Xenopus tropicalis: one gene and its partners. The protein of the gene in region 3 purifies or fractionates together with the protein of the main gene of each other region. This does not show direct contact. Links are inferred from orthologs where the notes say so. Each region holds a gene or a part of one and is shown on either strand. Other genes may lie near its edges. The genes, in order: cry2, snx24, csnk1d, vps13b, fam83d, fam110b and per1.

Evidence for each region.
Region 1: the proteins of csnk1d (region 3) and cry2 purify together in Homo sapiens (affinity purification with mass spectrometry; 3 studies listed by BioGRID and IntAct, counting the BioPlex papers as one, with this or other methods). This does not show direct contact. The link is inferred for Xenopus tropicalis from reciprocal best matches to the Homo sapiens genes CSNK1D and CRY2.
Region 2: the proteins of csnk1d (region 3) and snx24 purify together in Homo sapiens (affinity purification with mass spectrometry; 3 studies listed by BioGRID and IntAct, counting the BioPlex papers as one, with this or other methods). This does not show direct contact. The link is inferred for Xenopus tropicalis from reciprocal best matches to the Homo sapiens genes CSNK1D and SNX24.
Region 4: the proteins of csnk1d (region 3) and vps13b purify together in Homo sapiens (affinity purification with mass spectrometry; 3 studies listed by BioGRID and IntAct, counting the BioPlex papers as one, with this or other methods). This does not show direct contact. The link is inferred for Xenopus tropicalis from reciprocal best matches to the Homo sapiens genes CSNK1D and VPS13B.
Region 5: the proteins of csnk1d (region 3) and fam83d purify together in Homo sapiens (affinity purification with mass spectrometry; 4 studies listed by BioGRID and IntAct, counting the BioPlex papers as one, with this or other methods). This does not show direct contact. The link is inferred for Xenopus tropicalis from reciprocal best matches to the Homo sapiens genes CSNK1D and FAM83D.
Region 6: the proteins of csnk1d (region 3) and fam110b purify together in Homo sapiens (affinity purification with mass spectrometry; 3 studies listed by BioGRID and IntAct, counting the BioPlex papers as one, with this or other methods). This does not show direct contact. The link is inferred for Xenopus tropicalis from reciprocal best matches to the Homo sapiens genes CSNK1D and FAM110B.
Region 7: the proteins of csnk1d (region 3) and per1 purify together in Homo sapiens (affinity purification with mass spectrometry; 4 studies listed by BioGRID and IntAct, counting the BioPlex papers as one, with this or other methods). This does not show direct contact. The link is inferred for Xenopus tropicalis from reciprocal best matches to the Homo sapiens genes CSNK1D and PER1.

Annotation. Positions count from the first base shown.
Region 1 is NC_030680.2:13,669,040-13,673,215, forward strand, and holds the end of cry2 (cryptochrome-2), read right to left. Parts: intron 3,494-4,176; coding exon 3,366-3,493; 3' UTR 3,340-3,365; intron 1,069-3,339; 3' UTR 501-1,068; downstream 1-500. UniProt on the Homo sapiens protein: Transcriptional repressor which forms a core component of the circadian clock.
Region 2 is NC_030677.2:169,501,193-169,505,484, reverse strand, and holds the start of snx24 (sorting nexin-24), read left to right. Parts: upstream 1-1,492; 5' UTR 1,493-1,496; coding exon 1,497-1,556; intron 1,557-4,292. UniProt on the Homo sapiens protein: May be involved in several stages of intracellular trafficking.
Region 3 is NC_030686.2:23,244,753-23,248,252, reverse strand, and holds part of csnk1d (casein kinase I), read left to right. Parts: intron 1-549; coding exon 550-778; intron 779-3,500. UniProt on the Homo sapiens protein: Essential serine/threonine-protein kinase that regulates diverse cellular growth and survival processes including Wnt signaling, DNA repair and circadian rhythms. It can phosphorylate a large number of proteins.
Region 4 is NC_030682.2:128,392,182-128,395,681, reverse strand, and holds part of vps13b (vacuolar protein sorting-associated protein 13B), read left to right. Parts: intron 1-1,910; coding exon 1,911-2,737; intron 2,738-3,500. UniProt on the Homo sapiens protein: Mediates the transfer of lipids between membranes at organelle contact sites. Binds phosphatidylinositol 3-phosphate. Functions as a tethering factor in the slow endocytic recycling pathway, to assist traffic between early and recycling endosomes.
Region 5 is NC_030686.2:40,361,921-40,365,420, reverse strand, and holds part of fam83d (protein FAM83D), read right to left. Parts: intron 2,408-3,500; coding exon 1,468-2,407; 3' UTR 1-1,467.
Region 6 is NC_030682.2:116,184,967-116,188,935, forward strand, and holds the start of fam110b (protein FAM110B), read left to right. Parts: upstream 1-1,169; 5' UTR 1,170-1,385; intron 1,386-3,969. UniProt on the Homo sapiens protein: May be involved in tumor progression.
Region 7 is NC_030679.2:144,457,499-144,460,998, forward strand, and holds part of per1 (period circadian protein homolog 1), read left to right. Parts: intron 1-53; coding exon 54-772; intron 773-883; coding exon 884-1,040; intron 1,041-1,346; coding exon 1,347-1,539; intron 1,540-1,657; coding exon 1,658-1,808; intron 1,809-3,366; coding exon 3,367-3,495; 3' UTR 3,496-3,500. UniProt on the Homo sapiens protein: Transcriptional repressor which forms a core component of the circadian clock.

The DNA of each region.
Region 1 (4,176 bases), on a different chromosome or scaffold from region 3:
GGGTATATTTATCAAGCTGAGTAAAAAGTAGAGTAATGTTGCTCATAGCAGCCAATCAGATGCTTTGCTTTGGTTTTCTAACTGTTGAAATCTAATAGCTGATTGGTTGCCCTGAACAACATCACCAGTAATGCTTCACTCCACTTTTTACACAGCATGATAAATATACCCCTTAGGGTTTTCTCTGCTCAACTTGACCATGGGAAGGAGAGCAGCCCGGCAGAAACCACAGCAGAGATACAATAATTATTTATTACTACAAAAATGAGCATTTTACAAAAGCGAGTTTTATGTTTTTTTACCATAATCCTTAATGCACTGATTCTACATTCCCAGTAACACTTCCCAGCCAATGAAAACCTGAGGGGTAAAAATGACATCACTTAGGGATGTCCAGCCTGTAGCCCTTATGTTTTATTGCACTACAACTCCCAGCAACCCCCTGACGGCCTTACACAGACCATTTTACCAGGATAAGAAAACAAGACAGACAGACTGGGTGAAGAGTATTTAAAATTACATTTATGATACAAACAGCATCTGTATTTACATACACGGGAAGAATGTACATATATGAGCGGTTACACGTCAGCAGCGCTGCTCTGCTAATACATGCAATATTAACCTCTCCCCTGCCAAGGCAGAATGAGTTGCACCCTGGGAATGAGCAAGCCTCTAGTAACCCTATATACAATGTACAGAGCCAGACGCGGCACAGGCAGTTTGGCTTGAAATATCCTCCACCATCTACGCCACAGATCTCTAGCTGGAAGCGCCAAAGTGGTTGGGGAACTACAACTCCCACCAACCCCACGGGACCTGCTGTAGTTCCGCAGCAAGCCAGAGGCCCCCGTGTCGGACACCTCTTCTACAGATAAAGACGAATACCGAGCTGGGGGTTGGAGAATGCTTTAAACTAGGGCCGACAGAGAAGCTAGTAATGATATCAGCATCGCTCGTCTGGGAGCTAAGAGGTTAAATCTATTCGGGGCCCCTGTGGAAAGTGCAGCCTCCTGCTAGTCCTAATGCCATTATGGGTGCGGGCGTCTCTGTGTCTCAGCTGCTCATCTGTTGGGAGAGGAAAAACCAAGATCAGCCTCAGGTACATAAGCAAAGGAAATAATAACCCCGCCCCCATTCCTGTGCAGAACCAATTTTTGAGACCCAAACCCATAACTCACGTTGACCCACTACCCCAGAATAATGTAACATATAGTGAAGGCAGAGGCATGCTGGGAGCTGTAGTCCAGCAACATCAGGGTTGTATTCTTAAAGCAATATTGCACAATAAAACTTTTTCCCACAGCCAGCGATAAAATGCAAAAAATCCCCCAATGAGAATCCCAGCTGATCTGTATAAATCCGGCTCCATGTTCTCTGTTCCTGCAATTGGAGTTGGGAGCATTAAACCCAGTTTCCCAGCACTGAACAAGTCTGCCCTTATCCCCATGTCTGATTCCTGTGCCATATAATGAGGGGAAAATGCCATCATTATCTCTATATGTAAGGTACCAGCAAGGGGCCTGACACAGTGCTGGGAATCAGCATTCTCATTGGTCACTTCTTCTGCATTTATAATGCAGTTATTTATAAAGAGGGAAGAGAATTGCCAGAATTTCCAATTGGTTTTCATTTTTTATAGTTTTTTAAATTATTTAGCTTTTTTTCAGCATTTCCCTAGTTTGGAGCTATCTGGTTGCTAGGGTGCAGTATAGCTTAGCAACCAGGCAGTGGTTAAAATGAGAAACTGACATATGAATAGGAGGAGACCTGAATAGAACAATAAGTCATGAAAAGTAACAATCACATTATAGCTCTACAGAGCAATAGTTTTTTTATTGCGGGGTCAGCGACACCTTACCTGACAGCTGGAAAGAAGTAAAACTATAAACATTAAAAAATGAAAGACCAATTGGAAGGTTTCTAAGATCTGGACATTTTATAACATACTATCTGCTGGCTCTTCTTGATTGCAATGCAGGGAAGTGAGGAAAGGCAGTTTCCCTTTACAGACGACAGGACAAGGAATGGAGAAAGGCAGGTACCTCCCAAGTGTGTTACACTTGCTAATGGCACATTCGGCACAGGGATTTAACTGCCTCCCCAGGGGGCACATTCTACATGCCCTACGGCAGCAGCGTGGCGCATCTAGAGTCCTCTGGGTAATGCTGGTTTCCCACCCATAGATCCCATTCACAGAAAGGAAAGAATATCTAGATACAGAGATAGGGTGCCACCTGCTGGTCACATTAAACTATCCCACCTATTATTTCCCATTACATTTAACCCTTCCTGTCTCTGGGGAATAGGGCACCCAGTCCTGTTTCACTGGTTGAAATAAAACTACAGAGGGCAATATGCAACCAATACCTAGTCGCTATAAAATAAAGGACTGCCCCAAGCATGATTGGCAGCCAATAGGAAGCAAGAGCGGAATTCTCTAAAGGGTTTATCCCGGTAGCACATTTCTCCTACACACTAGGCTGGGGGATAATGTAATGGTCTTATAGGCTGGAATATAAATAGTAAAGAGTAATTCAGCCTTCCTGAGCCTGAAGCCCAACCCAGTGGGATAGGCTGGATACTAACCTGCTGATATACTGGCCAAATGGGACTAAAGTCTGATTAATTCCAGGTAGGCTCAGTTACAGAGGTACCCAGCACCCGTTACTGTACCACTGACTGTTGGATAAAGGGGATATAAACCCTGCTGCACAGCACTGCTCAACCAAACTTTACTCAGTTGTTACTGGGCTACAAATCCCAGAATAATGTAACATATAATGAAGGGTGAGGCATGCTGGGAGCTGTAGTCCAGCAACATCAGGGCTGTATTCTTAAAGCAATATTGCACAATAAAACTTTTCCCCAAATCCCCACAGCCAGCGACTGCTTTAAAATGCGAAAAATCCCCCAATGAGAATCCCAGCTGATCTGTATAAATCCGGCTCCATGTTCTCTGTTCCTGCAATTGGAGTTGGGAGCATTAAACCCAGTTTCCCAGCACTGAACAAGTCTGCCCTTATCCCCATGTCTGATTCCTGTGCCATATAATGAGGGGAAAATGCCATCATTATCTCTATATGTAAGGTACCAGCAAGGGGCCTGACACAGTGCTGGGAATCAGCATTCTTATTGTTTTTTTATCAGTAGAATTCTCATTGGTGAATTTTCTTGCATCTATAATTATGTTTTTGGCAACTTCTATAGGAAAACTAGGGGGCGCAGTGGGACAGCATCATGGCTGGGTTTACATCCCCTTTAAATTCTCAAGGAGCTACAGAGACTCCTAATGGATGACTTCACATATGGCAACGGTGTTGGTTATTGGCTACTGACCAGGGAGGGGGGTTCCGCTGCGGCGCTCAGAAGTCTTTTGCCGGCCTCTCTGTCTCAGGGGCGCACAGCACCCTGACTTTCATATGCGGCTCTTCTTCTGACACCTTGCGCTTGCGTTTGGGGGACTCGACGTTGCACAGAGACTGTTTAGGAGCTGCAACAAGAACAGAAGTAAATACAACACATAAAGACCATGTATACACTGGAAACAACATCCTTATAAATAGACATTTCCTTTCTTTTACTGCTGCCCCCCATTGAGGGAAGGGCTAAGTGCATTATGGGATTTGTAGTCTCTATGCAAGACGGTGATTAAAAGCCACAACAAGGGAGTCCAGCATTTTGAGAGCTAGAATTGTATCAGCAACAACAGCTGACTGCCTGTTCTAACCGCCACCTGCTGCACTTGTGGGTTTTATAGTCTTTCAATATCACGGGCTTTGTAGCTTTTCCTACACAGCAATTCTGAAAAGCTTTTCCTTTTAAACACAGCAAACTGAGCGATATAATGGAACCTGAAAGTGCCGACTGGGCCATCTAACTGTCATCCAATGTGTGAAGGCCCCAAAGGGCTCTATAGAAAAGTGCATTTATTCTGAACATCACAGCCAGAGGCTAGAGCATTCTGACTGAGGCCCGAGTGAGACATCAAGGTACCATCATGGAAGTCAGTGTCTTTTTGCACACGCTTGTGCTGAAAGTTTCAGCACAAAACCAAACTTGTCGGCCAATCAACAGCTGAAATATAAGAGGGTATTGGTGAAGGCAAAAAACAATGGCATGAAGTGCATACTGCTTAAAGGGGATGTAAACCCTGCTGCACTGCTCAACCAAACT
Region 2 (4,292 bases), on a different chromosome or scaffold from region 3:
GGTTCACGTTTAAGTTAACTTTTATTATGTGATAGAATGTCATATACCTACCAAGTTTGCAACTGATCTTCATTATTAATTTTTTATAGTTTTTAAATTATTTGCCTTTCTCTTCTACATCTTTCTAGCTTTTAAATGGGGGTCACTGACCCCAGCAACCAAACAAATATTGCTCTGTGAGGCTACCAGTTTATTACTATTGTTATTTTATATTCTTTACCTTTCTCTTCAGTCCCTCTCCTATTCATATTCTTCTCTCTAGGTCAAACCACTGCCTGGTTGCTAAGGTGAACCTAAGGCCCTAGCAAACAGATAACTGCTACAATTCCAAACTGGAAAACTGCAGAACATAAAGTTAAATAACTGAAAAACCACAAAAAAAAATGAAAACCAATTGCAAAGTTTTAGAATATTGCTATATATATGTTATACAGTATCTAGTAGAATTAAGTCTAAAACAACTGGACTTTTCTGAGTTTTTCTTGAAAACGTTTCACCACTCATCCGAGTGGCTTCTTCAGTTCAAATGACTGGTAGGGAATTCCCCGGTATTTAAACTCTTGATGGTAGTACAGTCAAAGGCATCCAATCACAATGGTTCCATTGAACTTGTTCAGTTAGGTGTTAGCTGAAACTGACAGGTGTAAGAAGGTATGATCCAATCACAATGGTACCATGATTCTCATTGATGAAGGTGTTAATCCTTCAAAGTACATGACTGGAAGTGTGAACTGTTGTGAAACTGCCGGAGTAAGGATGTCAACGCGCCATCGTATGTTGGTGACAAGCAGTGTCTCAGGCCCCCTTGAAGAAGCCACTCGGATGAGTGGTGAAACGTTTTCAAGAAAAACTCAGAAAAGTCCAGTTGTTTTAGACTTAATTCTACTAGATACTGTATATCATGACCTGGATGAATGAGAATCTTCATAGACACATTGCTATATATAGCTCACTAAAAGTTCATTTAAAGGTAAACAAGCGCTTTAAATATGCCAGTTCACAGCTGCTTAAATATAACTACAGGCAAGGCTAACTTGTTCTCTTTGCGCTGCCTTTATAAATAGGGCCCAGTAATTTAGCAGCAGTCGGCCAACTGCATATTTTTCACACCCAGCGCAGTGTTATGACTCTGCATATATTGTGCTTGCGTTATTAGTCTCCTTAGCGGAACCTTCCGCCGGCTGCACCTTCCCAACGTTTAGCTACAGTATGTTGTTAAACACAGAAGCAGAAGGCAATGACTTGCCGTGTCAGCTGCCCCTCCATCAGGCAAGTTATGCAAGAAGGCTGGAATCCGGCAAACTTCCACATTCAGAGCGGTCACATGACGCGTCACATGACAGCGCTTTCCATATGGCTCTCCCCAGCGCCGTGCCGCCCAGTGCCTCTGCTGGTTAGTGCTCGTAGCGGCCGCACTCAGCGCCAACCGTGACATCACTGGGAAGCTTCCCATTGGCCGTGCCTTCATCGAGCCGTGCCCGGGGAGAGCGAACGCTATGGAGGTTTACATTCCATCATTCCGGTACGAAGACAGTGATATGGAGAGAGGCTACACGGTAGGGGAGCCAGCGCTGCCTGCAAGGGAACGGCACGGTTGTGCTTAATGAGTGTGTGTTAGTGAATGAAAAACACATCACCCCCCGACACAACTAGTGACGAACTACAAATGCCGGTCACAGAGCTGCGCTACTGCAGCTACCGACGCTCTCTGTTATTTGCCTATGGGTGATACCGGGTGGAATCAAAACAAATCCGGTTGCCTTCATCCCCTACCCAATGCTGTCAGGAACCAGTGCAAATGATACGTTATCTGGCAATGATAGTGAGGGTGCAATACCAAACTATTAACGGTATCACTCTATTGCTTTCTGTCCCATTCCAAATGTTGTTAAAGGCAAGAGGTGAGGTCACAATGGGCTTGGCAACTCCTGTTGTATCGGGTAGGAAGGGGGCACAACAGTGCGAGTGGGAAGGTCCCTCTTGGATGGGATTTTCGAGTGTGACCTCTCTCTGCAAACACATATAACCTATACAAGTGAGCTCTGGGTCATGTAAAAGAAAAGGTATTTTCAATCTTAGTGTCTTGTCAAGAGCAAATCCAAGGTAAAGGCACTTTTGTCATGCATGGAACTGATAGTTCTACTTCAGCACCTTCAAGTAAGGCATGAATGATCCCTAGGCAGAGCCTACACAGCCTAATGCACCTTTAATAGCTCTTTAGCTCTGTACGGCTGTAATTGTGCCGTATAGGCAGTACTTTACAGATGGTTATATGAATAGGGCGCCGTAGTTGAATAAATATACACACATTCTCCCCCCCCCCCCCCCCCCAGCTTTCATTCTGCTAAATGAATGCATGTGGTTTAATACATGATAAGCTTTAATAACCTTTAACCTTTTCATTAAGTGTGTTATTTGAAGTACTTTGCATTTGTGGAGTTTTTTATATGCAGCCCTTGAACCCCTTAAAATCAAGTGACTTGGTCAAACAAAGAAATCAGAAACTTTTTATCCCCTTTCTTGCCTTCTGATTTGGTTCAGAATTCAGCTGAATTTTTCACGAAAGATAGTCACAGTCTTTGCTGTGATCCTGTCTTTTTTATTTTTTATTCAACACTTTATAAAATTCTTAAACAAAAATAATAAGGATAACAGAGTTATAGCACATTAGTAAAAGCAGGTAGATGGGAAGTGCAGTATTACAGTATTTTAAAAATGGTTTCAAGTTTGAAGATATAATTTTTACATAGTTTATATATGAGCCATAGGAGTTACCATTCAGGGCCGGAACTAGGAGTAGACAGAAGAAGCACCTGCCTAGGGCGCAACAGTGAAGGGGCGCTAGGCAGGTACCTCTTTTGCCACCCCTAGTCCGGGATTTGTTCCCCCGACTTCATTTCTCTGTGCTGCCTCCCTGCACAGCATCTGCGTGTATTGCGCCCAGCGCTCCCTCCTCTACGGGCGTCCCTGCAGGGGAGGGGGGCGCCCGGCCGACTTGGCCCGCCTCCATTACCATTGATCAATAATGCAAGACTCTGTGGTCGTAAAAGAATTTGGTTATGAATGTAGTGCTTTACGGTGGTTTTGGAGCCAAGGGCTCCATACTTTGTTGTATTTGTCTGGGTACCCCAGTTTTGTATTGGGAAATGCTTGGTTTACCAGAGCCAGCCAACCGTTGTATAGATAGCCACTTACTTGTTATGTGTTTACGGGCCAGGTAAAGTAACTCAGCCATTGACGTTCTTATGTATTAGGGCAGGGGTGTCAAACTCAATCATATAAGGGGCCGAAATCTAAAATACAGGCTAAGTTGCCTGGCAAATTTTTTATTAAGATACTGTACGGTCAGGCACAGTCACCAGGGGCCACATAAAACAGCCAGAAGGGCTGTATTCAGCCCGCGGGCCTTGTGTTTGACACATGCGTATTAGGTAAAGGTGTTCAATAAAAGCCAGTAGGCATACTTTGGGATCCAATGGAACTGGCGATCCCATCACATCATGCATAAATTGGGTTACCTGCTTCCAGTAATTGATAAGGGCCGGCAGGTCCATATTAGGTGGTAGAAGTGGGGCTATCTGAGTGGCATCTGGGGCATGTAGTGTCTGTTTTGACGTATGAGTCGGAGAGACTCTTTGAAAAGAGTATCTTTGGATTGTACGTTGCCTTGTATATGGGAAAGCGTATTTGGGGGATTCAAAGGACTTCCTACCTTTCCTCTTGATCAATCTGCCCAATATTTTCTTGCCAAGCTATTTTGGAACAGTCGGTATGTGCAGTGATATTGGGTTTTAAGAGTGTGCTGTATAGTCTTGATATCATGCCTTTGGCGTGCCCAGCTTGGATGTTGTGATCCTGTCTTTAGTATTTACGTAATGTTATTTCATACATGATAGCACAATGCTTATAAATTTCTGGCATTATTAAAGGAGAACTAAATCCTAAAAACAATATGGCAAAGAAATTATGTATACAGGGATCATCATGTATATAGATTAGTCTTTCACCTCCACCCCCTTGTGGCTCCAGAGGTTTGAGCACAGCCTTGCAGAATGCATTTATTAACTCATCCAGAATCATTTTATTGAGAGTTTCCTCTTTCTGTATGGCTCCGGGGCTGGATTCCTTGCACAGTTCCTGCCACCCAGTGGCACCCTGTTGTCTCATGATGGTGAGTGACATAGAGGCATGTGAAGAATGGTACACTAGTTTTTAGATTAGTACATCTCTAAAAAGAAGTTCCCATTCCCATATGACTGTCCAGCGCTAATGTCAGCATCTGCTGCCAAAGT
Region 3 (3,500 bases):
CTGTTCTTAAAAAGTTAGTAAGTAAATCGACTAAAAATAATTTGTCAGGCCAATAATAAACTTTGGAAAAATATATATTTCTGCACAGACTCTCCCTTTATTATGGGCCTTCAGGGTTATCCCTGGAAGAAACTAGTGATGGGTGCAGCCCATATTTACGCAGTGCTCCACTGCTGTAACACCATAGAAAAAAGAGAAAAAGCCACACTTCTTCTCTAAAAAGTGCGGCTTTTTCTTTTTTTCTTTTTTTTGTCGATTAGTAGAGAGGTTTAAAGTCTTAGGATACACAGGTCAGAGAGCAGCAGGTCAGTGCATGGTTCCCATGTGAGATCAAATGTCCGTTTGCTATGGGAGGGGGTCCAAACGCTTTGCATCTGTAAGTACCAGCTTTCTCAAGGTTCAAAAGCAATGTGGCTGAATACAATACATTTAGTCTATTTAAAACCATACAGTTAGTCGTGCCAGATCGTGTATGACTTTCCCAGTTTTAAATGTACATGTGCTGTAATAATAGATTCATAGATAATTGATTTGTTTCTTATGTTATAGATCAGCCGAATTGAATACATTCATTCCAAAAACTTTATCCATCGGGATGTGAAGCCTGACAACTTTCTGATGGGGCTTGGAAAGAAAGGCAACCTAGTGTATATCATTGATTTTGGGCTGGCCAAAAAATACAGAGATGCTCGCACACACCAGCATATACCATATCGTGAAAACAAGAACTTAACTGGAACAGCTCGCTATGCATCTATTAACACCCACCTTGGAATAGGTAATTTTCTTATATGAAAGATAGATTTTTGGGTTTCAAGGGAACTCCAGCTTTCAAACCAACATTTAGTAGAGCCCTACACAACAGAAACCCCTAATATACCTATCACTGTATGAGTCTCACATTTGAATAAATACCATTTTATATGCTGAAATATGGCTGCAAAACAGTTCTTCTCTTTCTGCACCATTCAGTATGCTTTCAGGTAAGGAGGGACTAAACGTTGAAGTTCTGTTTGGGTGGAGTCCCCCTTTAATATATTCATCTTTGGATCTCTGCCTTTCATGCTTAATTCTGGCATTCAATTAAATGCCAGGCAGCTAGGGATTATCAGCCTAACAGCCAGATGTCTAAACCTAAAGCTTGAAGACCTGGAACAAATCTAGAAACTTAGTGCAGTAAAATTGCTATTTAGCACATGCACTGTACTGTACTATCCGAGCACAAACAGAGGGTTAAGCTGACACTGCTTGTTCAGCAGACACCTGCCTCAGAATGCCCCACGCCCTCTCCTTCCTGCCTCTGTTCCTCTGCAGGATAGTGGGCCAGCTCAGTTCTTGTACAATTGGAGGAGTTACATTCTGCCCATTGGGATCCTGCTGCCTTGTAGCACCTTACTGCTACTCTTCCTTCACAATGTCTGAGGGATCCAATGACAGCATGTTTTCCAGGGGTACTTCCTCTACAGCTGTTAAATTTCTTGCCTGTGCCAAATGCTGCAAATATCTACCGCCAGAGTAAAGCACATAACTCCCAGGACCTGCCCCCCCCAGGTAACTCATGCTTCCCGTGAGGAACCCTTGGTCCCCCCCCAGGGAAATACCTCCTCCCTCAGTCCCATCTCAGCCCATCCCAGAGTGGGCATCCCAACTAACCAAGGGGATTCCAAAATTTGCTTACTCTCTATTAGCTTTTAGCCTGAATTGACAATCTAAAGGTTGTCAACCAAACACAGAGCTCCTTCCCCTTCCGAGGAAGAAAGCGAAGGAGATTCCTCAAATCCTTCTCCCCTTCCTCTGGATTCTAACCTTTCAGAAGGCAAACTGTCACTCAGAACCTGAGGTAGCTTCAGGCTCTTCCAAGACTGTTTAAAAGTCACAACAAGACATTACCAGCATTCCCTTCCCACTCGCATTTGGACCAGATTATTCAACAGGAGTGGCTAATCGCCATTTCTCAAGACTCCTTTCGAACCAGAGCTCATTGAAAAATGGTCTTCCCACACCTTCAGTGGATGCTCCTGTTTCCGGGCTTTCCAAGAACACTGCACTCCCAGGCGCCTCATCCTTCAAGGACTCCATGGACAAGAAGCTAGAAGGCTTACTGCACTCCTTGTTCATGGCCATGGATACTTCTCTCTGCTCATGGCCTGGGTTAGCAGAACGATAGTCATGGTCAGACTCCCTGCTTAGCGTGTCGGGAAACCCTTGCCGCAAGCTTTCACGGTGGGTCTCCCAGATCAAGGAAGCATCTGAAAAGCTTCCCTGGATGCAGCATAAGTGGTCAATCGAACTTCTGCGCTAGCAGTGGCAGCTCAAAGCTCTCTCTGGATGAAGCTATGGTCAGCGGATTTTTCCTCTGACAAATACTTGATTTCCATTCCCTTCAAGGGGAAACTTCTGTTTGGCCTTGATCTTGACAGAGTTATTAGTAAAGCTACAGGGGCAAAAGTACCTTGCTCCTGCAGCCTAAGGCACATTTTTCCTTTTGTACAGGAATATTGTTTCACGGCACACATAAGACCTCCAGATCTTCTCTCCTGAGACCAGATTGCTTCAGGCAGAAGACAATTTGGAGGTAAGTCCAGGTCTTCCTGGCAAACAATAAACCTCACCGCAAGCTCATGAAAAATTCTCTTTCGGGTGACTGGGTGCCACAACCACCATGGTGTACATCTGTAGGAGGAACTCGGGAAATTGTGAATCTGGGATATCACCTGGAATTCTCATCAATCCCTCTGTGCTGATTCTTTGTGTCTAAGTTTCCCCTGGAACCAGTCAAACCCAGAGCCTTTCAAATTGTGATTTCCAATCTCCTCAGCGCAGAGGTGATCACCCTCGTGCCTCCCAGAGAGCAACTCAAAGGCTCCTACTCAAATCTCTTTGTTGTCCCCAAAATAAACAGATCTTTTCACCCAGTCTTGGACCTCAACACATTCATTCGACCGTGAAGGTTCAAAATGGAGTCTCCTCGATCAATCATCGCAGCAGTGTCCCCGGACCTTTTCCTGGTCACACTCGACCCTAATGATGCATGCCTTCATGTCCCCATTTTCCACCCTGTCAGAGGTACTTGCGTTTTGCTGTTCAAAACCACCACTACCGGTTTCCACCCCTTCCATTTGGACTGACCTCAGCCCTACGTGTAGTTACCAAGATTATGGCGTAACCCCATATCTGGATGACCTACTCATCAAGGCACCTTCCCTCTCAGAGGACCAGCGATCTCTTCTCTCTACCATGAACACTCTACAGGAACTCTGTTGGTGCCTCAACCTTAACAAATCCTTGTTGGTCCCCAGTCAGTAAACAATATTCCTAGGGATGGTGTTTGAAACACAGACCAGAGGGTGTCCCTACCGCAAGACAAGATTCTTCATCTCCAGTCCCTGGTAAAGACCCTACTTATAAAATAGACTCTCACAGCCAGGTTCTGCATGAAAGTTCTGGGTGTTATGGTCTCAGCCATCAAAGCAGTACCCTTTGCTCAGTACCATCTTAGA
Region 4 (3,500 bases), on a different chromosome or scaffold from region 3:
CAAAAAACCAGCCCCACTTACTGTTCTCATTCAAGCTAAAGCTGCTGATATCACTACTGACTACTACAGTCCCTCCTTCCTTTCTAGAGAACCCCTCACTAGGAGAGCAATTCCCTAAGCACCACTAGGGGGAGTTCTCCCTACAGTACCCAAAGCACACCTGCCATCTAGTGCTTGGAAAACAGTGGCCCACTTTCTCTCTCTATGGGGAAACCCTACAGGGGATTCAAACCTAGCACTAGTGGCATCTCCCACAACCCTACACATATAAGTTTATGTCGTAAAATGCCACAAGTTTCCATGGATTGTAAAAAAGATACTAATGTACCACTTGCTGGGGAATTTCCAGGTTTTATTACCATCAAACAAGTCATGGTCATTTTTATCACCAGCAAAATTATGCATGTATGGTACTCTGCCATCTTCAAAATCCTCATAGTTGAAAGACAGATGAGAATATGGCCGGCATTGCAGCTACTGCAGAACCTCTTCTCCCCAGTTTGCCAGGGATATCTCTTACACAGGCTGCAACATATGTTCATGTTCACAAAAAAATGACTTTACCAATCACTTCACCAACATTAGGTGCTCTACGACACACTTTTTCAAAATAAAAAATTCTTGAGTAATATCAGTGTTATAACAATATTGTTATACAATAGGACCCTCATGGTAATAGCATATATTAACATCTAACATTTCCCAGGGTAAGGCTTCTCACTCATCCAGGGGCATTCATTCTCTATATAAATACCATAAGAGCCCATTGTCTGATGATTGTGCTGTGTGCATCTGATATGTTAGGGTATCACGTAAACCATTTTATTAAAGGCAAAACAGAACACTGCATTTAAGTTAGTTTTCCAGGACTCAGAAGTTGAAAACCACAAGCTACTGTACCTATGGTATATAGCCATTGTTACTGACCTGCCTTGCTAAAGGAACTCTTCTTAGTTGTCCCGCTGCCCATTTAGTCGTACAAAGCTTGACTCACTAACATTATTTACATTGACCATGCTACAAATGTATTTAAGCATGAAATAAACCCAATAGGATTGTTTTGCCCCCAATAAGGGGTAATTATATCTTAGTTGGGATCAAGTACAGGTACTGTTTTATTATTACAGAGAAAAGGGAATCATTTAACCATTAAATAAACCCAATAGGGCTGTTCTGCCCCCAATAAGGGGTAATTATATCTTAGTTGGGATCAAGTACAGGTACTGTTTTATTATTACAGAGAAAAAGGAAATCATTTTAAAAAATGTGAATTATTTGATTAAAGTGGAGTCCAGGGTAAATTGCCTTCACGTAATTTGGACCTTTCTGCAAGACAGCTTTCCAGATAATGGATCCCATACCTGTATTTGTCAAATGTTTGCGTGTCCTTTATATTCTGCTCAAATATTTAATGAACTTCACCGTTTGTAAATCATTATGTTGGAAGTCTTAGTTGTAAGTGTGCAGTCCAGTGGGACATGCCTTGTTGTATTAAATTATATTAAGTATTTGTTCCTGTAGACAGTATACCCCCTTATTCAACATGAATTCAAACATCATAAACATAAGTTTATGCTGAGCATACTTTTTCCATACAGTTTCGTTCTAGAGCTAAACAGGGAATTTGATGCTACTCCATGTTTAGTCCTTTCAAGGTAGATAATTAGATTACCAGTACGCAACGTCACCTTTTGTTGTGACTGTTTTGTTACGAGGAAGTTCTTTATGCAGAAGGGATTATTTGTGCATTGGTCATATAATTATCTTGCAAAGACCAAACATGGAGTTTCCCCTTTTTTGTAGCTGAAAAGTATGCTCAGCACAAGCCCTATTCATTGCACTCAGGTAGAACATGGGGGTGTACTTCCCCTTTATGCTGCAGTGCAATAACTTGTCTTCTTTATCTATAGGTCTCAGAGCCAGAGTGTTATGGTCAAATTCTTCATCACCCAGTTGAGCCTTGGAATTTTTGATGATGTCACAAATGCTAAAACATCATCGGAGCTTCTGCGCCTCACTCTGGATAATGTGTTCTTTAGCGTGACACCGGTGAGCAGCTACCTCAGACAGCCGTGTTTGGAACTCCAGGCAGATATAACATGTGGAAGTACCTTGTTCTATAGCCTGGAGATGTACTGCGGAGACCTGCAGGTGGACAACCAGTTGTACAACAAATCCAACTTCCATTTCCCAGTTCTTGTTTGCCAAGAGGAGAGAAGCGATAGTGCCAGATGGGCAAAGTCCAATGGGTTCCAAATGTCCACCAAAGAATTAGAAGCTTTCAAGGAAAGTTCCTTTGTGAAATTCTTTGTTTCTCTGTCAGTAGAACATGAAGCGTACGACCTTAATGAGCTTAGCTTTGAGATGAAACCATCTCGACTTTACTTAGAAGACACTTTTGTTTATTACGTTAAAACACTTTTTGACACCTACCTCCCGGATAGCAAAATACCGCACAGCGCAGTAAAGTTCCCAGGACCAAAGGTTAATCACCTGTTACCGGAACAAGTGAGGCTATACGCATTAGCCCTAGTTAATCCAGTGAAGCTGCGGAAGCTAACAGTGCAACCCGTCAACCTCCTGGTCAGCATTCATGCCTCCCTCAAGCTCTACATTGCCTCTGATCACACCCCATTGTCCTTCTCTGTCTTTGAACGTGGACCTATCTTCACGACAGCCAGGCAGCTGGTACATGCCCTTGCTATGCATTATGCCGCGGGTGCCCTGTTCCGAGCAGGTGAGTATGGAAAACAGTATATAATTGTTCATTGTACCAAAAAATCCTATAGCGCTATATAGTAGAGAATTGGAAAATGTAACAACAGACAGAGCTGCTTCTAAAACTCATGATATACATCATGCCTAATAAAGAGATGATGGTGCAGAACTAGATATAGTCTGCCCTAAGCTTTAAATAGACATTGACCAGTGTGATTACATTGCAAATAGGCCACTTCCAGCTCAGATCTCTGAAGAAAGCGGCTCGCAAAGCACCATGGTCAGCCAGAAAATGGATAAAACTCGAACTTTATTTACATTCTTAAAAACCCAGAACGCCTGACGCATTTCGTGCGTAGCCGCACTTAATCATAGGCAACTTCCAGCTCAGAAATAAACATGTTACCAGTGGCAGGGATAGAGGTCTGGCCTTATGGATTTTATCCCTTATGGACCTTTTTCCCTACCCATACAGGCCTCTTTCCCATACACATCCACACTCTCTGTCCTCAGTGTACTGTGATATCTTACAAGAACCACATAGGGGACAGGCCCTGGCGCAGTCACCCCCCACCCCTTTCCAGTAGTGCTGCCACTGAGTATACCATAATATACTTGTTCCTGACCTGCTTTTGTGGTGTTAAATATCAAATCATCTAAATCCAAAAAGTAATTAATGTAAATTTACTCAGTACTTCACTCATTGTATTATGTGTTTATCCAGTGTCTCTCACTGAGTAACGTACTAGAGATGCTATTACGCTTTAGTATATGGGGGTACC
Region 5 (3,500 bases), about 17 Mb from region 3:
AAGGGGTGTGTGTGGGATATGTAATCTCCTTCTCTTAGAGACACCAAGGGCATTCTTTCTCCAGATTATTCCGCTGTGTTTCCAACCCAGTCTTTTGTTTTCAGAAGGTGCAGCAATGGACTCAAAAACAAATATTTCTTTGATGAAAGTCAAATAAAATCGGATGCCAGGGTTATAACACATAGTAAATACTCGGGGAAAGGGTTAATCTATCTCAGTTGCAAAAAAGAAGTATTAGTATTACTGCAAACATTCCTACAATGCAGGCTTATAAATATTTATTATATATATATTTTTGTGTTTGTGTCTTTTTCAGTCATTCTGTAAGACTATACCCATGCACACATGTCCTTTAGTCTGGTGAAGGTGTGCTAGGTTTAGGCACAGGGCCTATATACACACCTAGTGATGATACAAATATAGCAACACAGGTAAATTTATCATAGGAAACAAAAGAAATAGAAGGTGCATGAACTGCTGGTCCTCTCACAGGTGTACAGGGTGCTCCGGGTATGTGCAATATCAGTATACAGATGTGCAAATTATATTATTTTTCTTGTTATTTTTGCCAGTAGCAGTGTGGGTTGTGTGTTGAACATTTGCATTGTGCAAACAGTGCATTTAAACTAGTTAAAAAAACTGGCTTTGTTGCCTTTAAAACATGAGACCATTCCTGTTCCCAGCCAAGTATGATTACCCTTAAGGTGTAAAGTTCTACTTACTCATTAGACTGCCTCCGAATTAAATATTTACCCATATACTCATATTAGGTGGGTCACATTGAGATGGTCCTCAGGGAAACAATAAAAAGAACACAGCAGGACCAATAAAATGCCATTCAGGATGGCAGTTATTTTAGTCTCTTCCACAGGCCAAAGGGCTACTAATTTGCAAAAAAATGACAGAGCTGGCCTCCATAATTACTGTACATACAAGCAGCTGGGTAGTCACTGTGGGCGTGTAGTAGTGCATGGGGAACGGACTAAAAGCACAGTAAACATGGCAGTCATTGGGTCATTTTATGCAAGGCACTGGTCTGATAACAGAGCAAGGGAAAGTGCACATTTATTTTGTTTCTGATGAACTCAAAGCAACCACCCTGAGGGGTTTCAAACGGCAGGTGACATGAAATCTCCTTCTCCTCCGCCTACAATAGAAAAGGAGTCTGAACTTGTTGCTCTTATCCAAACGATTCCTAACTTGTCATTTCTTTTAATGCCTAAGGCTAGGCTTCTCCCCTCAAGGGACAGGGGGAGATGGTAAGAACACTAGAAACATCTTTTACTGTAAAGCGGTTTAGTCAAAAATATTCTGTTGCCCGAATGTTGGAGAGTACAGCATGCCTCTCATTTTAAGGCACTGGAAAGAACTAAAGTGCTTCAAAGTGATATAAAGCGGTAGTATAGCACATAAAGGACACACTGAAAAGGCTTAAAAGAACATTTTAGACCTGGAATCCAAGCCCAGTCACATGTTGGGATAAAAGCGCACCCCATCTCGAAGATTGAGGAGGCTGCTGTGCACAAAATCTCTCCTCTGTAGTCCATAACATGGGGCATCATTGGCCATGTAAGCATTAGGTACGCGGTTGCGGTTAGACAGTATGGACACCATGTGGTTGAGCTTGGAACGGATAGTGGAGTAGTGGTACTGTCTGTCCTTGGACAATTTCTTGAAGCTGTCTCTCAGATGATAGTTGGGTTGATAAAAGGCCGCGGCATTAAAGTCAGATGACTTTATGGAACAGTTTGAGTCGGTGCTGGTTGTTGAAGCAGAAGAAAAAGAGGACGAGGAAGAGTCAGAGGAGTTGGAGAGCCTGCCCGTGGTAGATGCAATTGCTGGTGCCTGGGTTGCAGATTGTGACGGATCGGTTGTTTGAGTAGTAATTGATCTTGAAACCATTATGGTTTGGGTGGAAGCCATTTTTGATAGTACAGAGGTCTGCGTGCCAGCATTTGTAGCAGATACAGAAGTCTGTATGCCAACATCTGCCATTCTTACTTCATTCTTCCCCTCCCACGGCTCTGTCTGAACTTCCACCGTCCGCATCTCCTTGAGCCCGGAGATGATGTCACAGTTCTGGAGCCACTCATCCTCTACAGCTTTGTCTACAACATCTCGGTTGTATTTGGCGGCACATTCATCCAGTTGTCTTTTCGGGGTGCTTGAGAGTTTGGCCAGATCCATCCGCAGAAGGCTGCTCAATGTAGGTTTCTTGTAGGCAGGCATCTTGCAGGGAAGCTTGTCTAGGCCAACAGTATGGGATCTTATAGCTGACAGAAGCTTGGCACTGATTGGGTTGGACTGGGCATAAAGAATCCTGAACTGCAGGTCAAACTTCTCAACTACTTGTCCAGACAATACAAGTATGTTACTGCTGTTCAGCTTTCCATCAGTCCAGGTGAAGCTGAAAACAAAATGAAAAGGTTGGTCAGTCCAGCAATAACTATTGACACGAGGCTGATCCCACCTAACAAAAGGGGAGTACAGACCCTTCCTTCCCTCAAAAACATATTTGCCAAATTATTGCTAGAAGAAGTATTTGTGTACAACATGGTGGCCCTAGCTGGAAGGTGACACACTTGCCCAACGCTCATGGAACAATAAAATTTGCTGACGGTCCAAGTCAGCAGATACTGTGTCATGAAGGGGCCCTTTTATCAGTCCTTAGCATGGAGCACCAACCAGGCAGATTAAAATAAATCATTTTATTATTCACATAAAAAGGCTTCACCCTAAAACCACAAGCTTGGCTTGTTTTGTGGCAAACAGTCACTTCAGAACCTCCCCCCCCCAACATGTACGGGGCTCTTGAATGGGCCTCAACGACCAATACCTGGCTGAAAATTGGCCAGACATCGACCAGGTTTAAGAATCCTGTCGGGCTGAGGAGTACATGGGTGTGATTATGACGTCCTCGTCCCAATGGCCTGTTTCCCATCCATGTGATCTGATTGTAAGGCCCTTGGGCCAAATGATTGGGTCAATCTAATATCACCCACCTCAAGGTGGGCATATTGGAGAAAGATACACTCATTTGGCAAGGTTTATGGACACTTTAAAGGGGAACTTCTTTTTATAATTTTTAATATAATAATATGGTTTGGAACAGTTGCCTAAGCCCCACCCCCTGTTGATCTGGCTGTAACAGTAACAAATGTAACAGTAGTCACCTGTCCTCAGCCTGCATCCTCCCCTGCACATGTGATGTCAATAAGGAAAGTAACATTACAGTGCAATGCATTGTGGGTCATGTAGTTCCTGCATGCTGTCTGTAAGCCAGTGATCCCCAACCAGTGGCTCGTGAGCAACATGTTGCTCTCCAACCGCGTGGATGTTGCTCCCAGTGGCCTCAAAGTAGGTGCTTATTTTTGAATTTCTGGTTAGGAGGCAAGTTTTGACTGCATAAAAACTCAGTGTAATGCCAAACAGAGCCTTCTATAGGATGTAAGTCCTCATAGGGGCTATTAAATAGGCAATTACAGCTTTTATTACCACCT
Region 6 (3,969 bases), on a different chromosome or scaffold from region 3:
CAGTGGCACAGGGCAGATCACACCTGCAACTTAAATATGTAGAAGCACAAGGTTTCTTGAGTGTCTGGGGTTGCATTGTGCCATGCAGGTATTCTCTTGGGACCCAGGTAACTTCCTGCTGCAATTAGGCACTGCTAATTAAACATATTCAAATCTATGAGGAAAAGAACCCATTCTAAAGCTGGCCATACACGCACTGATACTATCGTACGAAACCTCGTTTCGTACGATATTTGGTGCGTGTATGGCATGTCGGCGAGTCGACCGATATCGCAGGAAGCTGCTGATATCGGACGACTCGCCGATCGGCCAGGTTAGAAAATTTTGATCGGGCGCCATAGAAGGCACCTGACCAAAATCTGCCGTCAGGGCTGAATCGACAGGAGGTAGAAATCCTATTGTTTCTACCTCCTTATCTGCCGTTTCAGCCCTGACTGTGTGTGGCGGATCTGACTATGTTTCGTGCGACCATCGGATCGCCACGTGTATGGCCAGCTTAAACCCTACAACTTGAGTGAATGTCTCCCACCTTAGTCACTCACCTACCCATTCAGTGAAGGCAGAGCCTGTGTATCCCCTGCTGTGGGCAGAAACATTCATAATACCCCAGGATATTACTTTGCTGCACATTTATACCCATTGAATCAAAGCAAAGAGTACATGGGAGGAGCTGCTGTAGCGTTCCCAGTGCTGGTGCGTTTATATAGAAGAAGCAACTGGTCTGGTTGCGATTTTAGTCACTTTTGGGCGCGATAATTTGCCCAGCGTTAGCTTTTCCTTGAGAAGAGACTTTCTTTGCCTGATTCGGATTCTTTGCCTCCTCTATACGCAGCAAGTTCTTCTCTGAAACACAACGCGGGAAAAAGGTTGGTTGGCTCTATGTGTTACAGGTTGCCGCTTTTAAGCCCACCTCCCTGCCCCCATACCCTCCTCATGTTTCTGAGACCTGCCAGGCAAGCTCTATTGTTCAATGTGGGGGGGTGGGGCTATACCTATATCCATTTTCACAGAATCCCTGAGCCCTCCCCTCTATCCCTTACCTGCACTCACTGGCCAATAAGCTGCCGCTCCTCATTACCCGTATTGCTCCTAATGAACCCTAAACTCATAAATCAAGCACGATTTCCAGCCAGTCGCTAGGTGGCGCCAATATACTCTTCAAATCCCAATAAAATATCGAAAAAAAAAGGAGAAGCGGTATAATGTGTGCGAGTGATCCCTCCCCCTCCCCAGGAAGTGGAAAGGGCTGAGCTGTTCCTGCAGGCTGAATAAAGCAGATTTAATTCACTGCTATCCTGTGCCTGAACCCATCAGCAGCTTATTTGCGCTTTGTGCATCGGTGTTGTGACTCTGCGTCTGTACAGATGCAATAGGAGACAGACACGGTAACGTTGCATCTTTTCTTTGTAACAGTCACTTTTACCAATGAAAGAGCCCGGGATTATTGAATGACTGCCTACAGATAGGCTCATCGTTTTGTTTTGCTTCAGCCAAACACATGATTTCACGGGACTTAATTGCCTATTTAAATAACGCAGATCGGGTTTTATTTGACCTTTATGGTATGCTAGCCAATCAGTGTTGAGCATAGTGGGACTTTGTGCAGTGATGCCACATGTATGCTGGAGCCAATGCTGGTTAACCCTGCGCTCTCTTTATTATTGGATCTGGAATTTGTCTTAAAATGTGTGCTGAGGGGTGCAGGCTGCACTTGCATGGCTGTTATGCACCCCATTTTTGTGCTTTATGCAAAAGGTACTGCCCTGTGCCTTCTTGTCAGGCAGTCTGCGCCCCATTGACAAGGATAAGGTGCAGGGACCATGGCATGGGGTTGGTTGTTGTTGTGGGCTTCCGAGGCCCCTAGTAGTTGGATTCAAGGAGCTCTATCACTGTAAGCTCTATCACTGTAAGCTCTATCACTGTAAGCTCTATCACTGTAAGCTCTATCACTGTAAGCTCTATCACTGTAAGCTCTATCACTGTAGCCTCTATCACTGTAGCCTCTATCACTGTAGCCTCTATCACTGTAGCCTCTATCACTGTAGCCTCTATCACTGTAGCCTCTATCACTGTAGCCTCTATCACTGTAGCCTCTATCACTGTAGCCTCTATCACTGTAGCCTCTATCACTGTAGCCTCTATCACTGTAGCCTCTATCACTGTAGCCTCTATCACTGTAGCCTCTATCACTGTAGCCTCTATCACTGTAGCCTCTATCACTGTAGCCTCTATCACTGTAGCCTCTATCACTGTAGCCTCTATCACTATAAGCTCTATCACTGTAGGCTCTATCATTGTAGCCCCTCCAGTAGAGTTGTATCTTACCGAAAAAATCTGAGCTCTATAAAGCACACCCATTCCACCCACTATGAAGTGCTGCTGCTCAGTAAATGAGCCCCAATAAGCTTGACGCTTGCGTAGAAGCTTGCACTTGCCTGTTCATTTGTGTACGGGAATTCGGTGAGAGAGGCCACATGCAAGGTTTTTACTGTAAGGAGAAAGTCCTGGAGGGAAGGTTTGTTTAACCGCTGCCAGCACTGCTCATTGATTGTTCTCGTTGTTTTTATAAGGTTTCCGCTTTCCTTTGTCAGTTCTTTGCTGTAAGAAAAGCACAGATTGGCTCTGTTTGTTGGCTTGAAATAATAATATTGTCCAACCTGTGGCTTTCTAGCTGTGCTTGAACTTCAACTCTCAGCATCCAACCCAAAGGTTACGGGGAGATCCAGGGAGTAGTATTGAAAAGGCAGCAGGCTGGACTGTGATGCTCTGTTGGAAAGCATATGTTTTTAATTAGCGACTATGGATCAGCAGTGTATCATTGCGAAACAACAATCTCACAGGTCAAGCTGCTGTCACAGAATCCTTTATAAATGTCTGAGTTCTGTAATTACATTTAAAATTACATTTTGCAGACCTGATGCAGGAGTTGTATAGCAAGGAAACATTGGTGCCCAATGTTTTTCCCTGTGTCTGTATTCCTGTTATGGGCACAAACTCTACTCAGTTGAAGCTTTACAGTTTCTGCATTCCTCCAACAGAGAAGCTCCAGGCTGCTGTCTGAATCTCCGCTCTAGTGTAGGTTCAGCAGATGTACTGCCCACAGGAGATTTGATGCCCCTGACAAGGATCACGGGGGTATACTGGGCACCAATTTTTAAATCTGTCAAAATCACATTAACAGCTACTTGCATCCCTCTGTAAGCTGCCATCAGGGTTAACACTAGCCTAGTCCCGGAGACTATTGCATGGTGAACTGGTGAAAAATTACATTAAGTGGCAAGAAAAGGCCCAGCTAAATATTTGCTATATATGTATGTATATATAAAGCATTTGGTGCCAGTATCTACAGCCAGATATTCTATGGAGCCCCCCATTAAACTACCAATTACTGTCTACTTTTCTTTTGGATCCACCCTCCTCCTCTACTCCTGGACTTAGCATATGTACCATATTATTCCCATAGACTCTGAAACCCTACAGGAGACTGGAAGGTAAATAATGGCCCCAATTGCTTCAATGTTTCGCTGTCCGGATGGCTGATATAAACAATAAGATTACATCTTGTGTTCTTATATATTGCTGTTAACTGTATTTTCAGGTGATTTTCTGCTTGTTCTACATTAGGGCCAGCTCAACAGAACTGTTCAGTGGGTCTGACTTCTAATACTATAAGTTCAACCTGATATCTTGTGAAAGTGTGAAGCCATATCTTATGTGTAATGATAATTTTGGGGTCTTATGTTGGGGCTATAAAGCCCCAAGAGACTGTTACAAGCCATGAGTATATTGTACAGGAGGACTTGGTTTTTAAACTTTCAGTGCAAGGATACACACCTTAACAATGAATACTGCAAAAGAATTCTGAGTGGAGTACTGTGGAGTGGAGTGAATATGTGATCCTGTTCTTCCCATTGTTGTGCTCATCAAGTTTCATGCAATGCAATCAGACTGCCATGATGATGCCATCAA
Region 7 (3,500 bases), on a different chromosome or scaffold from region 3:
TCTTGCCTTTCTGTAAGAACAGTAGACGTGACAGCGGTTTTTCCTCTCTGTAGGTGCAAAGCCTCCGCGTGCCCCCCAGCACCACCATGCCGCCTCCAGCAATCCTCTGTCGCCATCCAAGGGAGAATCACGCGCAGGGGGTGGCCGGGGCAAGAGTGGCAAATCAAAAGCCAAGCGCCCTAAGCAAGGCAAATCCCCCTCCTCCAGCTCCATGCAAACGCACAACCTCCTAGATGCCAACCTTCTACCTCCCCCTCCTCCCGTTATTCCTGGATACCCCCTGCCCATGTACCCCCCACGGGCTCCTGACCCCACCCCAGCTGTCCCCAGATACCCACTCGTCACTCCTATTGTAGCTTTAGTGCTGCCCAACTACCTCTTCCAGCCTCCTCCAGTTGCACCTCCTTTCTACCCTGGGGTTAATGGGTTTCCTCCTTTTGCCCCTTCTACTGAGACCCCGCCTGCTGCACCTGAAGCCCCTCCTCCGGCTCCTCCTCCTCCAGCTCCTGCTGCACCTTGTGCTCCACCTTCCCGCTCCTCTTCCCCTCCCCATCGCCTCTTCCCGTCTCGTTGCAGCTCCCCCCTGCAGCTTGACCTGCTGCAGATGGAGGAATTGCCTCAACCCGGGGCAGGAGGAGGGGGGGAGTGGGAGCTGGAAGAAGAAGTTAAGGGAGGTAAAGGAGGAGCAGCACCCGGGACATCTGTAGGCGGAGGCGGAACCAACACAGGAACAGGAAATGCAGAAGAGAACAGCCCGGCGGAGAACTGCATGGTGGGTACAAGCATAATATTTATTGGCTTCACTTCCTGTTCCTCCCCATTGTGCCCAAACGTGTCCCTACAACTGCCCCCCCAGTGATGTTTTGCTATTTCCCCCTGCTAGGGCGACCCCCACGAGTCCTCCTCCCACAACGACGCACTCTCCAGCTCCAGCGACCTATTAGATCTGCTCCTGCAGGAGGATTCGTGCTCCGGAACAGGGTCCGCTGCCTCCGGCTCCATGGGATCCAACGGGGGGAGCACCTCCGCCTGTGGCACAAGTGAGTCACATCATGCATTACTCCTATAGCCTCTCCTAGTCTCTCATTTAAACCACTCCCCGGTTGCTAAGGTAGTTTGAACCATAGCAACCAGATAACTGCTAACATTCCAAACCTGAGAGCCCTTCCTGAAGACAATAATGGATTCCTAGACCAATTGCAAACTCTCTCAGACTATGAATCTCTACATCATACTGAGAGTTAACTCAAAGGTTAACTTTCCCTTTACATTTTCTAGGGTGGGTGGGGCTTCGTACTAAATGTATAACTTGAAATATAACCGCCAGTCTTTCTTTCTCCAATCAGGAAGCAGCGAGAGCAGCAACACCAGCAAGTACTTCGGGAGCATCGACTCCTCGGAGGGGGACTTGCGAGGAAAGAAGTCGGAGAGGGACGAGGCGGAGAGGAAAGTGATCCGATACGTCATGCAGGACCCCCTCTGGCTCCTAATGGCCAACGCCGACCACGACGTGATGATGTCATACCAGCTCCCACCCAGGTAGGGGCGCTAGGCCGACGGTGTCTATGTGGGGTACATGCCTTTCTTGCTCCAGGGCTTCCTTCTCTCCTCGACCCCCATCACTTCTGGGACTCATCCCCTTCAACCTCCCCAACAGGGATATGGAGCGCGTCCTGCAGGAAGATAGAGAGAAGCTCAGGCAGCTCCAGAGGCACCAACCGAAATTCAGCGAGGAGCAGAAGAGGGAGTTGGGGGAGGTGCACAGCTGGGTGAGGAGAGGCCGCCTACCCCATGTCATCAACATCACCGTGAGTACGGGCCGCGGCAACGGAGGCTGCCCGATGTAGGGGGATATGTACTAATGCTTTTCCCTCCTAGCAACACCCACCTAGCAACACTCTGGGGGGCTCTGGGGGTCTGTCCTGTTACCCTTCTGTCTATTGCATGTAAAGTGTAGTTGGGGCATTGCGCCTACCCTTCTAATAGGGGCTCACCAGTGGCCAACAGGGGCGTCACCCGTTACACCAATGTAAGGGGTTGGGTTGGCAGGCAGGGCTGGGTCAGCTAGGGATTTTTTTGTAGGAGGGGCCTGGTGGGGTCTAGGTGCGCCACACCTGTCCTGCCGGCCCAGTTCGATCCTGACCAATAGTGTACCAAGACCACGCCAGGCCCCTCCTACAAAAAATTCTTTAAAGGGGCCCTGACAGCTAACACAAGCACTATGTGCATGCCCCTCGCTTCCCTCTCCCCGCCCACTAACTCTTAAAGACTGCCGGCACAGTCCGACCCTGACCAATGGCGTACCTAGACCACGCCAGGCCCCTCCTACAAAAAATTCTTTAAAGGGGCCCAGACAGCTAACACAAGCACATGTGCACGCCCCTCGCTTCCCTCTCCCCGCCCACTAACTCTTAGAGAGGAGAGTGATGGAGTGGGGGGCCTGGTTTTTCCCTGGTGTGCTGCCGGCCCAGTCCGACCCTGACCAATAGCGTACCTAGACCACGCCAGGCCCCTCCTACAAAAAAAAAATCTCCGGAGGGCCCTGGCAGCTAACACAAGCACTAAGTGCACGCCCCTCGCTTCCCTCTCCCCGCCCACTAACGCTTAGGGAGGAGAGTGACAGGATGGGGGGCCTGGTTTTTTCCTGGTGTCCTGCCGGCCCAGTCCGACCCTGACCAATAGCGTACCTAGACCACGCCAGGCCCCTCCTACAAAAAAAAAACCTCCGGAGGACCTGGGCAGCTAACACAAGCACTATGTGCACGCCCCTCGCTTCCCTCTCCCCGCCCACTAACTCTTAAAGACTGCCGGCCCAGTCCGACCCTGACCAGTAACGTACCTAGACCACGCCAGGCCCCTCCTACAAATAAATCTTCGGAGGGCCCAGGCAGCTAACACAAGCACTATGTGCACGCCCCTCACTTCCCTCTCCCCGCCCACTAACGCTTAGGGAGGAGAGTGATAGGGATGGGGGGCCTGGTTCTCCAAAGCTATAGAGAAAGCAGCCCCCCAATGTGCAAGTCCATTCTGCAGAGTGTAAACTGTATTTGTGAATAAAGTACCCCCTGTTGTAAAATATAAGGAGATTATAATACACCGAGGAGTTCCATGACCATATACCGATCAGGAGGTGACTTCTAATATCCTCATATTTCACAACAGGGGGTCCTTCATTTATTATAATAGACACGTTTTAGTGAGTCATGTTACAGAAATGACATCACTAAGCTCCGATGACATCACTAAGCACCGTTTATAAGGAAATGACCCGACTGTATATTATACATATATATATTGCATTTAGCGTTGGTTTTATATGTGCTTGTACAATAACTCCCGTTTCCCATTCCCCCCCCCACCCCCCAGTCTTGCACGGGCTGCTCCCCCGACGGCCCCCCATACGATGAGGATCTAGACTTGTCCATAATGATGGAAGAGGGAGGGGACTGTGCGGCGGTAGGAGAGGAGGGTGGCGGAGAGGCGACAAGTGGATGAAACGG